Oryctolagus cuniculus: one gene and its partner. The protein of the gene in region 1 purifies or fractionates together with the protein of each later gene. This does not show direct contact. Links are inferred from orthologs where the notes say so. Each region holds a gene or a part of one and is shown in the gene's direction. Other genes may lie near its edges.

The links. The genes of interacting proteins can lie anywhere in the genome.
Region 2: the proteins of ABL2 (region 1) and RIN1 purify together in Homo sapiens (co-immunoprecipitation; 3 studies listed by BioGRID and IntAct, counting the BioPlex papers as one, with this or other methods). This does not show direct contact. The link is inferred for Oryctolagus cuniculus from reciprocal best matches to the Homo sapiens genes ABL2 and RIN1.

Annotation. Positions count from the first base shown.
Region 1 is NC_091438.1:7,420,011-7,425,373, reverse strand, and holds the start of ABL2 (tyrosine-protein kinase ABL2), read left to right. Parts: upstream 1-1,783; 5' UTR 1,784-2,017; coding exon 2,018-2,174; intron 2,175-5,363. UniProt on the Homo sapiens protein: Non-receptor tyrosine-protein kinase that plays an ABL1-overlapping role in key processes linked to cell growth and survival such as cytoskeleton remodeling in response to extracellular stimuli, cell motility and adhesion and receptor endocytosis.
Region 2 is NC_091432.1:5,520,074-5,525,487, forward strand, and holds the start of RIN1 (ras and Rab interactor 1), read left to right. Parts: upstream 1-1,982; 5' UTR 1,983-2,668; coding exon of another isoform or gene 2,669-2,741; coding exon 2,742-2,827; intron 2,828-2,953; coding exon 2,954-3,134; intron 3,135-3,225; coding exon 3,226-3,340; coding exon of another isoform or gene 3,341-3,422; coding exon 3,423-3,495; intron 3,496-3,591; coding exon 3,592-3,683; intron 3,684-3,775; coding exon 3,776-4,516; intron 4,517-4,669; coding exon 4,670-4,975; intron 4,976-5,217; coding exon 5,218-5,349; intron 5,350-5,414. Other genes in the region: BRMS1 (breast cancer metastasis-suppressor 1), read left to right, coding at 236-328, 929-993, 1,156-1,195, 1,372-1,379. UniProt on the Homo sapiens protein: Ras effector protein, which may serve as an inhibitory modulator of neuronal plasticity in aversive memory formation. Can affect Ras signaling at different levels. First, by competing with RAF1 protein for binding to activated Ras.

The DNA of each region.
Region 1 (5,363 bases):
GAGTTACACAGAGAGGGAAGGAGAGACAGAGAGAGAAAGAGGTCTTCCATCCACTGGTTCACTCCCCAATTAGCTGCAACAGCTGGAGCTGTGCCCATCCGAAGCCAGGAGCCAGAGCTTCTTCCAGGTCTCCCACATGCGTGCAGAGACCCAAGTACTTGGGCCATCCTCCACTGCTTTCCCAGACCATAGCAAAGAGCTGGATCAGAAGTGGAGCAGCCAGGACCTAACTGGCGCCCATAAGGGATGCCGGCACTGCAGGCGGCGGCTTTACCCACTGTGCCACAGCAGCGGCCCCAGAAAATAATTAAACACAGGAAAACTTGGATCCAAACAGAAAGTTCATATTCTGTACTGTGCTAAAGCTTAAAGTTTCTGTACCTATTTTGGGGGTGGGAGTAATTTCAGTTATTCCTGGCCACATCCCAGGTAACAGTGGACTATTTCATAGCCCTCCTGAAGGATCTGTGTCAGCGGGTGGTTGATGAAGGTTGTATGAAAGTGAGTGGGTTGGCCGGCGCTGCGGCTCACTAGGCTAATCCTCCACCTAGCGGTGCCGGCACCCCGGGTTCTAGTCCCGGTCGGGGCACCGGATTCTGTCCCGGTTGCCCCTCTTCCAGGCCAGCCCTCTGCTGTGGCCAGGGAGTGCAGTGGAGGATGGGCCCAGGTGCTTGGGCCCTGCACCCCATGGGAGACCAGGAGAAGCACCTGGCTCCTGCCATTGGATCAGGGTGAACCAATGGCAAAAGGATAGACCTTTCTCACTGTCCACTCTGCCTGTCCAAAAAAAAAAAAAAAAAGTGAGTGGGTCATGAACTACACCTGTCTTTGCTTCCCCCCACCTCTGTTCTTGGGGGCTGTTTTTATTTATTTATTTTGCAATGGTTCCCATTACACATTTTAAAACCAAATGTAAGTGTGATGCCGCTAATAACCGACACCTTTTAATAAAGCCAACAGGGAAGCCGAAGGAAAGGAGGAGAATAACAGCCTAGTTCTTTGAGAAGTCAGAACAAGTGGATCGATATTCAGATACACAGCGTGGGAGAGGATGGTGAGGGAGCTGTGGGAGTAAAAAACACCCTTCTCCTGACTCATCCCCTCTGTTCAGACAACAGGAGCTAAAGACGAGGAGTTCTGACTCAGAAACGGGACCGAACATTCGTATTTCTTCTCCCTGTCTCCGCCAAAGAGGACCTGGGCTGGGGCCCCGTGCCTCGAGCACGCAGCTCGCCAGTGGGCGGTTTCGCGTTAGGGTCAACCCTCGGGACACAGAAACACGCGTGCTGGGACGGCCGGGGGGCTCCGAGGGGATTCTGGGCGGCGTGGGGCACACAGCCCGGGCACACCACTGTCCCTTCAGGTGAACTTCGTGCCATTCTGTCTGCAGGCCACGGCTACGTGTAAGCGGATCCCCCCGGGCCTTTCACGACCCTCGTGTTTCTCCGCCTCGGCGGCGCCCGCGGCGGGCACTCCGCCCTCGCTGACGGAGCTGACAGGTGCCGGCGCCGCGGGCAAGGCCCGAGCTGCACCGACGCTGAGGGCGGCGGTAGCGCGTGTGGAGCAGGCCGGCGACCGCGGACGCGGACTCGGGACCCGAGGCGGCCGTGGACGCGCGCGCGCGAGGTGGGCGCGGGGGGCCGGCCCGGCGGGGAGCGGGGCGGAGCTTCCGGAGGCCCCGCCCTCCGGGGGAGCGGAGGTGACTGGCAGGCGGGGGGCGGGGGGCGGGAGACGCTCTGCCCCACGCTCGCCCGGCGCTCGGTGGTTTAAAGATGGCGGCGGCGGCGGCGGCGTTGGGGGCGCGGAGCGGCGGGAGGGGGAGGGAGCAGCGGAGTCTGTGAGTCGCCGGGGAGCAGCGCGGCGGCCGCGGTGAGGAGTCCGGGGGCCGAGCCGCCGGCGGCCCCGGCCGCTCAGGGCCAGGGCCTGGGCCGGGAAGGAGAGGCCGGAGCAGCGCCGGGAGCCGAGGAGGAATGTGACCGGGGGGTTGGCGGGGGCGCGGGAGTACGCGAGCGCAGGGATGGGGCAGCAGGTGGGCCGCGTCGGGGAGGCTCCGGGGCTCCCGCAGCCTCAGCCCCGCGGGATCCGGGGCAGCAGCGCGGCCAGGCCCTCCGGCCGCAGGCGGGACCCGGCGGGGCGCACCGCGGAGAGCGGCTTCAATATCTTCACCCAGCATGGTGAGTGTGGCGGGGCGCGGGGCGGGGGCGGGCGGCCGGGGGGCGCGGGGCGGAGGGGTGCCGGCGGGTGGGGGCGGAATCGGCTGCCATCTGGGCCCGTCACGGGCGGCGAGCACACCCCTCCCCCCGCCCGTCTCCAGCCTGGCTGGCAGCTCCTGGGGGCGGTCACTCGGAGCTCGGGTGGACTGGCCTGTCCCCCGGCTCGGGGCCGTGCGTCGTCCGGGGGAGGCAGGGATGAGGGGAGCGAGGGGCTGCGTCCGGGCGGTGGGGGGGTGGAGGCCGGTTGTCAGCGGAGGCAGCCCCAGTGTGGCTGGGGAGCTCGGGCGTGCACCTCGGGAGACTGGCGGGGAGCGGTGTCAGGGTGGCGGGCTGCACGGTGCCCTGGAATGCCCGTCTTTGTAGGAAGGTGAGGGTGCGAGCCCCTGACTGTGTGTGTGTGTGTGCATGTGTGTCTGCCCCACCACCCTGCTCTGTTCCTTGGAGGACACGGTTCTGAGATGGCTGGCAAGGGCTGTAAGTTGGTGGGCATGGCTAGGACTTCCTTCTGGGTATGGGCAAGTTTTCCTTTGTAGCCTGTGTGTGTGTGTGTGTGTGTGTGTATGCCTATGTACGTATAGTGCTTGCAGATATGTGGCCTGGCACCTATCCCTTGGGTCGCGTCTATTTATCTTGAGAATAGTTTGTCTTCAAACCCCTTTGTTACGCACTCAGTAAAAATGTTGAGCGTATATTCTGATTTGTGTATTTTAGGCCGTTATGTTCGTGTACCGTGCTAATATGTGCTGTAATTCTTAAACGTATGCAGAAATAGAATTTAGGAAATGATAGGCTGAGAATATCATAAGGCTCCTGACCCCTCCCACCCCCCCACCCCCGCCTCGCCCCGGCCCAGTGGATCCTGTACACTTCCTCAGAGACATACTCGTGTCACTTCTGAAACCTCTTTGCTAGAGGGAATAAAATCAACATTGACTTGCCTGGGATTGAGGTCCCCCCCATATCCACGAAGGGCTGAAGATGGAGGTGTGGCTGGTGGAGGGACTGGCCGGTTGAAAGTGGCCGAGAGGGGCAAACTGGACAGTGACGGAAGACGGATGTAGAAGACGGTAAAGGGTAGAAGAGACGGGTTTCTGTGTCACACAGTCGAGGGAAGTGGAGGGCGAAAGTGAAGTGTGGATCCTTTGCTAGCAGTGGCGTTGGGAGAGTGTCATGGCTGATGGTAGCATGCACAGAAGGATGAATCCGAGGGTCCGTGACTAATAGCTGAGTTGTGTCAGAGGTCTGAGTTTGGACTTTGTGGTTACACTGAGTTTTTAAATTTTTAATGTATTTGAAAGGCAGAAAGAGACAGAAGTCTTCCATCTGCTCCTCACTGTCCAAATGACTGCAGCAGCTGGGGCTGGGGCCATGCCGGAGCCCAGAGCCCGAAATGGACTCTGGGTTTCCCAGGTGGGAGGCAGGGACCCCAGTGCTTGAGCCATCATCTGCTGTCCCCCAAGGTGCACAGTTGAAGGAAGCTGGAATCGGAAGTGGAGCCAGAACTCGAACCCAGACACTCTAGTGTGTCTCAGGTGGTGTCTCAACTTCTGCCCCAAACACTTACCCCACAGAGTGAGTGTTTCTTCATGGAGGAGATGTCTGTAACTTGGGTCTATGCACGCTTCAATTCACATACCTTGAAGAAACCTCAAGCACATCTTTAGTAGCAGACATATAAAGCGATGTTTAATATTTGATGCAGGTGCCATAGGAGTTGGTGGTGGTGGTGGTGGTTGTTGTTTGACAGGCAGAGTGGACAGTGAGAGAGAGAGAGACAGAGAGAAAGGTCTTCCTTCCGTTGGTTCACCCTCCAATGGCCGCCGCGGCCGGCGTGCTGCAGCCGGCACACCGCACTGATCCGAAGCCAGGAGCCAGGTGCTTCTCCCGGTCACCCATGCGGGTGCAGGGCCCAAGCACTTGGGCCATCCTCCACTGTTGTTTTTTATTGAAATTACTTCCTAAACCATGGGAGGAAAGAAAAGAGGAGTAGTTCTCAAGAGGATGGGCATTTGGTCCAGCAGTCACGATGCTGGTGCCCAGTGACTTAAGGCTTGGGCTTGATTCCAGGCTCCGGCTCCTGATTGCAGCTCCTGCTGGTGCAGGCCCTGGGGCCAGCACATGATGGCTCAAGTGTTTGGGAGGCCTGGACTGAGAGCCTGGCCTCTGCCTTCAGCCTGGCTGTTGGCAGGCATTTAGAAAGTGAACACGCCAATGGACGGTGTTTGTATCTCTTTGCCTGCCTATTTGCCTCTTGAATACGTTTTTTAAAAAAGTTTCCAGGGAAGAAATCGTCCAAGTAGCTTTGCTTTGTGGGAAGTGTTCCTGTGCGTTAAAAGTGGGCCACTGGGCCGTGGTGATCACCTTCCTCTAATATTCAGGACAGAAGATTGTCGGAGGAGGAAGAAGTCGCGAAGAATAGGATAGCAAAGACATGTTCGAAGGATGGATGGAATTTGGACCAAGGGAGCAGGAAAAGGCAGTCTGAGTGGGAACGGTGGGGATGGGCTTGATTTGTTGGTGGGACAGTGAGGAGACGTCTGTCAGGAGTGAACTTTGACCTCCAGCAGAATCGCAAGTCAGGTTCTATGCTGGCTCTAGCTGACTGGTGCGTTTAGTCATCACTTTTGGATTTCTTTATCTGTACAATGAGGTGAGGCAACATGATCTCTGAGATTCTTTGTCTTTAAGATTTTATGATTTTAATTGAGAAACAACAGAAAAAAACAGGTTGGATGGACTGGGTTATGGAAAATCTGGCAAAGAGGTTTGTGTTGGTTTGCCTGATTGGCTAGTTGATAGGATGTATCAGTAAACCCAAGTGTGAAATGTAAGACTGAGGCGAGAAATGGAAGAGGAGGGGTCAGGGCCATTTCATGTGTTCAACAAACAAAAGGTTTTTTTGAGCACCTACTTAAGTATTGGGCCATGGAAGTGGTGCGGTGAATATAATAGAGTGCTTGCCAGGATGGAACTTAGAGGACTTTGTGATCAGTGTAGACTATGAAAGGAGAGAGAGCACATTGGAGTGCTTGTTAAAGGCATGAGCTCTGAGGCTGGCTTGATGAATAAAAGCCACTGCTCGGGATGCTGGAGTCCCATATGGGTGCCTGTTCAAGTCCCAGCTGCTCCACTTGCTACCCAGCTCCCTGA
Region 2 (5,414 bases), on another chromosome or scaffold:
CGCCCACGGAGCAGTAGGTCCGAGGCTCGTGGAAGTGCGGTGGCCCCTGTCCGTTGCTTGCCCACTCAGGAATTCAGGACCTCAGCAGCCCTAGTGGGATTCCGGCCCCCAGCCCGGGGTCCCGTCCCCACCCTGGGTGCCGAGGGAGGAGGGGAGGTCCAGGAGGCCGGTGTCCAGGGCGAAGGGTGCGTGTGGGAGCGGCCTGCGGGGTCCTGACTTGGGTCTGGGGGCACAGAGTGGTGGGATGACAAACTCCACGCCAGAGGCAGCGCGAAGACCTGGGACGCGGTGCCACCCAGCAAGAGGAAGAAGGCACCTCTGGTTTCCGGTATCCTTCCACGCACGGGGGCCCGAGACAGGCAGGTGTCAGCCCCGAGCTGGGAGTGGGCGGGTGGAGGGGACGCAGACCGGCCACCTTCGCTTGGTGACTGCCGTGGCGAGGCCGAGCCAACTGCCCGCACCCAGTGAGCCCCGCGGCGTCCGCGGTGAGGCCTTCGAGGCCTCCCTGGCTCTCCCGGATGCTGGTGGTGTTGGTCTGCGGCCACCGGTGGCAGAGTGGGCACAGGCGGAGAGAGGGGTCCGGAAGGCAGTGACTCGAGGGGTGGGGCGGAGGGGGTGAGGGCGTGGACGCCAGGTAGGGAGCTGTGGTTTTGGTGGGGAGGCCCCTAGGAGCGACTGGGCTCGGCCGGCCGGCCTGGAGGAAGGAGGTGAGGGCGAGGGGGGTAGGGGTGGTGCCTGGTGCCCTCCGTGGACTGGGTGAACCAGGCCCCGAGTCCCCCTCCCCACCACGGGGGACCAGGGGACTCCGAGGTAGGAGGTGGCTCCTGGGAGCTGCACGTGCACTGTCTGCACCGCCTCTGCTGGACACTGGGTGTGGGGCCGAGATGGCCACCGCGCGCCGGTCCTGCTTCCTTGACCCCTGCCGCAGGCCCCTACATCGTGTACATGCTGCAGGAGGTCGACATTCTGGAGGACTGGACGGCCATCAAGAAGGTGGGTGCCTGGCCCCGCTGCAGGCCGCCCCGGGGGAGGGCGGGAGGGAAGGTGGGAAGCCGGGCTGGGCAGATCCAGACCCGGAAGAGTCGTGCCACCCGCCCTGGCCCGCTCTCTGATGCGTGGAGGGCAGCGTCCTCAGGGCTGTGCTCACCCACGCAGGCGCGGGCAGCTGTGTCCCCTCAGAAGAGGAAAGCGGATGGTAAGTGTGGGGGTCTGCCTCGCCCCCTCCCATCCCCCGTGTGCCCAGGGAGAGGGGGCGGTGGCAGAGCCTTACTAGGTTGGAGGGGTTTGGGGGCCGGGGAGCGGGCGGTGCCCTCCGCGCCTCTGCGTCCGGCTGCCTCTGACCAGCGATGATTTTCCCTCCCACTTCCCCAGGGCCATGACTCTGCTGCCCCCAGCCAGGGGGTTCCCGGAGCAGCTGGCACTGAACGCAGGCCTCGCGTACTCTTGCTGTGGCGAGGCAGACAGACAAGCCCCCCGGGGTGGCCGCAGTGCTGCCGGGACGTCCCCCTCTGGCCTGCACTGGTCTGCATTCCTGCGCCTTAGGGCCTGCACAGCTGTGGCCCGAGAGCTGACCGGCCAGGCAAGACTGTCACCTCCGCCCCTGGCCACGAAGAAGGACCTTGACTCAAGCCAAAGCAGCATCCTGCCCGCCCCTCGGGCCCTGGCTCTCTGCAGCCTCCGGGCCACGGCAGCGGGCCCCACTGCCCGGGAACTCTGAGCCAGGTGTCCTGTGCGCCCACCAGGCCGGAGCCGGCGGTGAGACACCGGCTCCCCGGTTCTCTCAGGTGGTTCTTGGTGTTTGCCTCCCACTCGCCAGGACTGGATTAAAACCTCTCCTAGGGCTCTGCTGCGTCCTGTGTGTGTCTGATGGACCTTGGAGGGATCCGGTGTCCGCGGGCAGTGCCCCAGGCAGGCAGACCCTGCGCTGGTGCCTTCCCCCACTGCCCAGCAGGGGCTGGGGTGCGGGCTGGGAAAGGGGCCGGCAGAGCGTGTGGAGCACCCGGCGTGGCCAGCGGAGGGGACTGGAGCCTGGGCCCGGCCTCTGGGTCGTGTCTGCACCTGCCCTGCCGCTCGGCAGATGGGCAAGGCAGGCTGGCAGGGCCTGTGCGTGGGAGGCAGCCGGCAGCAGCGCCATGCGCTGCCGACCTCACAGCCACACTCCCCCTGCTTAGCGCGTGTCGGAACCACCCCCAGAACCCCAGTTAAGCAAAGGGGTTGGTTTCCATGGAGATGTGGCATCTTTTCTCCATGGCAACCTGAAATCCCCCAAACCCAGGTTGGGCCCAGGAGTGAGTCATCTGTGACCAGCAGGGGGTGCTCTCTCAACTGCTGACCACAGAGAGGTGGCTGAGTAACTGACCGTGAGCAGGACGAAGGTGCCCCAAAGGCGGGGCTTGTGGGGACTGAGTGGGCCCCACTTAACCCCCTCCTGCCCACCCGCGTGCTATAAGGAGACCAGCACGGCTGCAGGAGTCACCGTGTGGAGGTGGTGCCCCCCACAGCTGGGACCCTAGGAGTGGCGCTGGCGTGGAGGGGGATCCCTGCCCCTTGAGCCGAGTCCAGAAGCGAGAGGAAGCAGGGCACCGGCCAGCAGAGTGGACGCACAAGAGTTAACTGGCGGGGTGTGCCAGGGCGCACCGCCCTCAGGAAGTGTTACTCACCGCTGGGAATGTGTGCGCCTGTGCCTGGGGGCTGGATTCTCTTCCTGAGTCCCAGGAGAAGCCGGGTAGGAGCTCCCAGCCATGGAAGCCCTGGGGGCGCCCAAGGCAGCCCCTCTCGGAGCCCCCAGCCTGTCCAGCTGCCCTCCTGGCCACCAGGAGAGAGAAAAGTTAGTGTTGAAGTTGGAAGGGCGGCCAGGTGGGGCGGGGAGGGACGGAGGAGGTGGGGGGAAGGAGCAGGCAAGGGTCCCCCCTCCCCCACAGACACCCACTCAAGTCCGGGTGCTCACCCCCAGGCCCGCCCAGGACCCTCTGTACGACGTGCCCGATGCCGGCGGGGGACAGGCAGGGGGACCCCAGCAGCCGGGGCGCATCGTGAGCCTGCGGGAGCGCCTGCTGCTCACCCGGCCCGTGTGGCTGCAGCTGCGGGCCAACGCTGCGGCCGCCCTGCACGTGCTGAGGACCGAGCCCCCGGGGGTGAGTCCCGCCCACCCCTGGCGGCCGCTGAGGGCTGGAGGCAGAGGGGCTGCACCCAGGTCCTGAGCCTCCCGCACCCATCCACTCGCAGGCGTTCCTCGTGCGGAAGTCTAACACCCACCAGTGCCAGGCCCTGTGCGTGCGGCTGCCCGAGGCCAGCGGCCCCTCCTTCGTCTCCAGCCACTACATCCAGGAGCGCCCAGGCGGTGAGAGGCGGGGCCTGCCGGGCTGTGAGCCAGTGGGGAGGGGGTGTCCCCAGAGGTCGGCCTCACCTCCCAGCTCTCGCAGGCGTCTCCTTGGAGGGCTCGGAGCTCGTGTTCCCGGACCTGGTGCAGCTCATCTGTGCCTACTGCCGGGCCCGGTGAGTCGGCCGCCCTGGGGCCCTGCCCCCTGCCCCCCCACGCCAGGCCAGCCCGGCTGTGCCGCCCCTGACAGTCTGCTCCTTCTCTGGCTTCAGGGACATTCTTCTCCTCCCGCTGCGGCTCCCCAGAGCCATCCACCAGGCGGCCACCCACAAGGAGCTGGAAGCCATTTCCCACCTGGGCATGGGTAAGGGCCCTGCTGGCTGCCTAGCTGGACCCGCCAGGGCCAAGCGGGGAGGGAGCACCCAGCCCGGAGCCTTAGCCTCTGCTTGTCCCTAGAGTTCTGGAGCTCCTCCCTCAACACCAAGGCGCAGCAGGGGCCGCCCGACGGCGCCCGGCTGCCCCGGCTGAAGGCCCGCTCCCCTCAAGAGCTGGACCAGGGCACCGGGGCCGCCCTGTGCTTCTTCAACCCTCTGTTCCCGGGGGACCTGGGCCCCACCAAGCGGGAGAAATTCAAGAGGAGCTTCAAAGTACGCGTGTCCACCGAGACCTCCAGCCCGCTGTCCCCGCCGGCCGTGCCGCCTCCCCCGGTGCCGGAGCTGCCGGCGGCGACAGCGGCCAGCCAGGCCGAGAGGGTGCCCCCTCGCCAGCTGCTGCGGAGGGAGGGCTCCACGGGCTACCGCGTGCCCGGGGGCGCTGGCCCCGGCGTCCCCCCGCTGCCCTCCCTCCAGGAGGTGGACTGCGGCTCCCCCAGCAGCTCCGAGGAGGAAGGGGCGCCCCAGTCCCGGGAGAGCCCAGCGACCTCGCCCCAGCTGGGCCGCCGGCGACCCCTGCTGCGCTCCATGAGTGCCGCCTTCTGCTCGCTGCTGGCACCCGAGCGGCAGGTGGGCCGGGCGGCCAGGGCGCTCACGCGGGACAGGCACACGGCCGTGGGCCAGCTGGTGCAGGACCTTCTGACCCAGGTGCGGGCCGGGCCTGAGCCGCAGGAACTGCAGGGCGTCCGCCAGGCTCTGAGCCGGGCCAGGGCCATGCTGAGCGCCGAGCTGGGCCCCGAGAAGCTGCTGCCGTCCGAGAGGCTGGGTGAGGCCCTGGCCGGGGCTGGGTGCTTGGCCCTTCCCCGGCTGTGTCTGCCCCTGCCCCTCGCGCGTCTGCTGCCCTGCAAACCCGCCCCGCCTCGCCGCTGTCCTGCCCGCCTCCCTCACCTCCTCGCCCTCCCCCACCCTCCTCCTGCAGAGCAGGTCCTGGAGAAGTCGCTGCACCGCTGCGTGCTCAAACCCCTGCGGCCTGTCCTGGCAGCCCGCCTGCGGCGCCGGCTCTCCGCGGATGGCTCCCTGGGCCGCCTGGCTGAGGGCCTCCGCCTGGCCCGGGCCCAGGGCCCCGGGGCCTTCGGGTCTCACCTGAGCCTGCCGTCCGCCGTGGAGACGGAGCAGGTGCGCCAGAAGCTGCTGCAGCTGCTCCGCACCTACTCCCCCAGTGCCCAGGTGCAGCGGCTGCTGCAGGCCTGCAAGCTGCTGTACGTGGCCCTGAGGACGCACGCGGGTGAGCCCCCCCCCGACACAGCATGCATGACGGCTCGGTCAGCCCTCCCATCTCACAGATGGTAAAACTGAGACCCGAGCGAGCTGCGGCCCCTCTCTGTAGCCCCTCAACTCGGGCGGTCGCTACAGCAGTGGCACCGCCCAGGGCTGGGCAGGCAGAGGACAGATCTTGACCGAGGATGGGTCTGGGCCGCTGGGCTGCCCCGGGGGGAGCCTGAAGCCTCCGCCTCCCCGTCCCCGCAGGCGAGGGTGCCGGCGCTGATGAGTTCCTGCCCCTGCTGAGCTTCGTCTTGGCCCAGTGCGACCTCCCCGAGCTGCTGCTGGAGGCCGAGTACATGTCCGAGCTGCTGGAGCCGGCCCTGCTCACGGGGGAGGGTGAGGGACCACCCAGCACACCCGCACGGAGCACCTGCCAGCCGGGGGTGGGGGCGGGGCTGGGA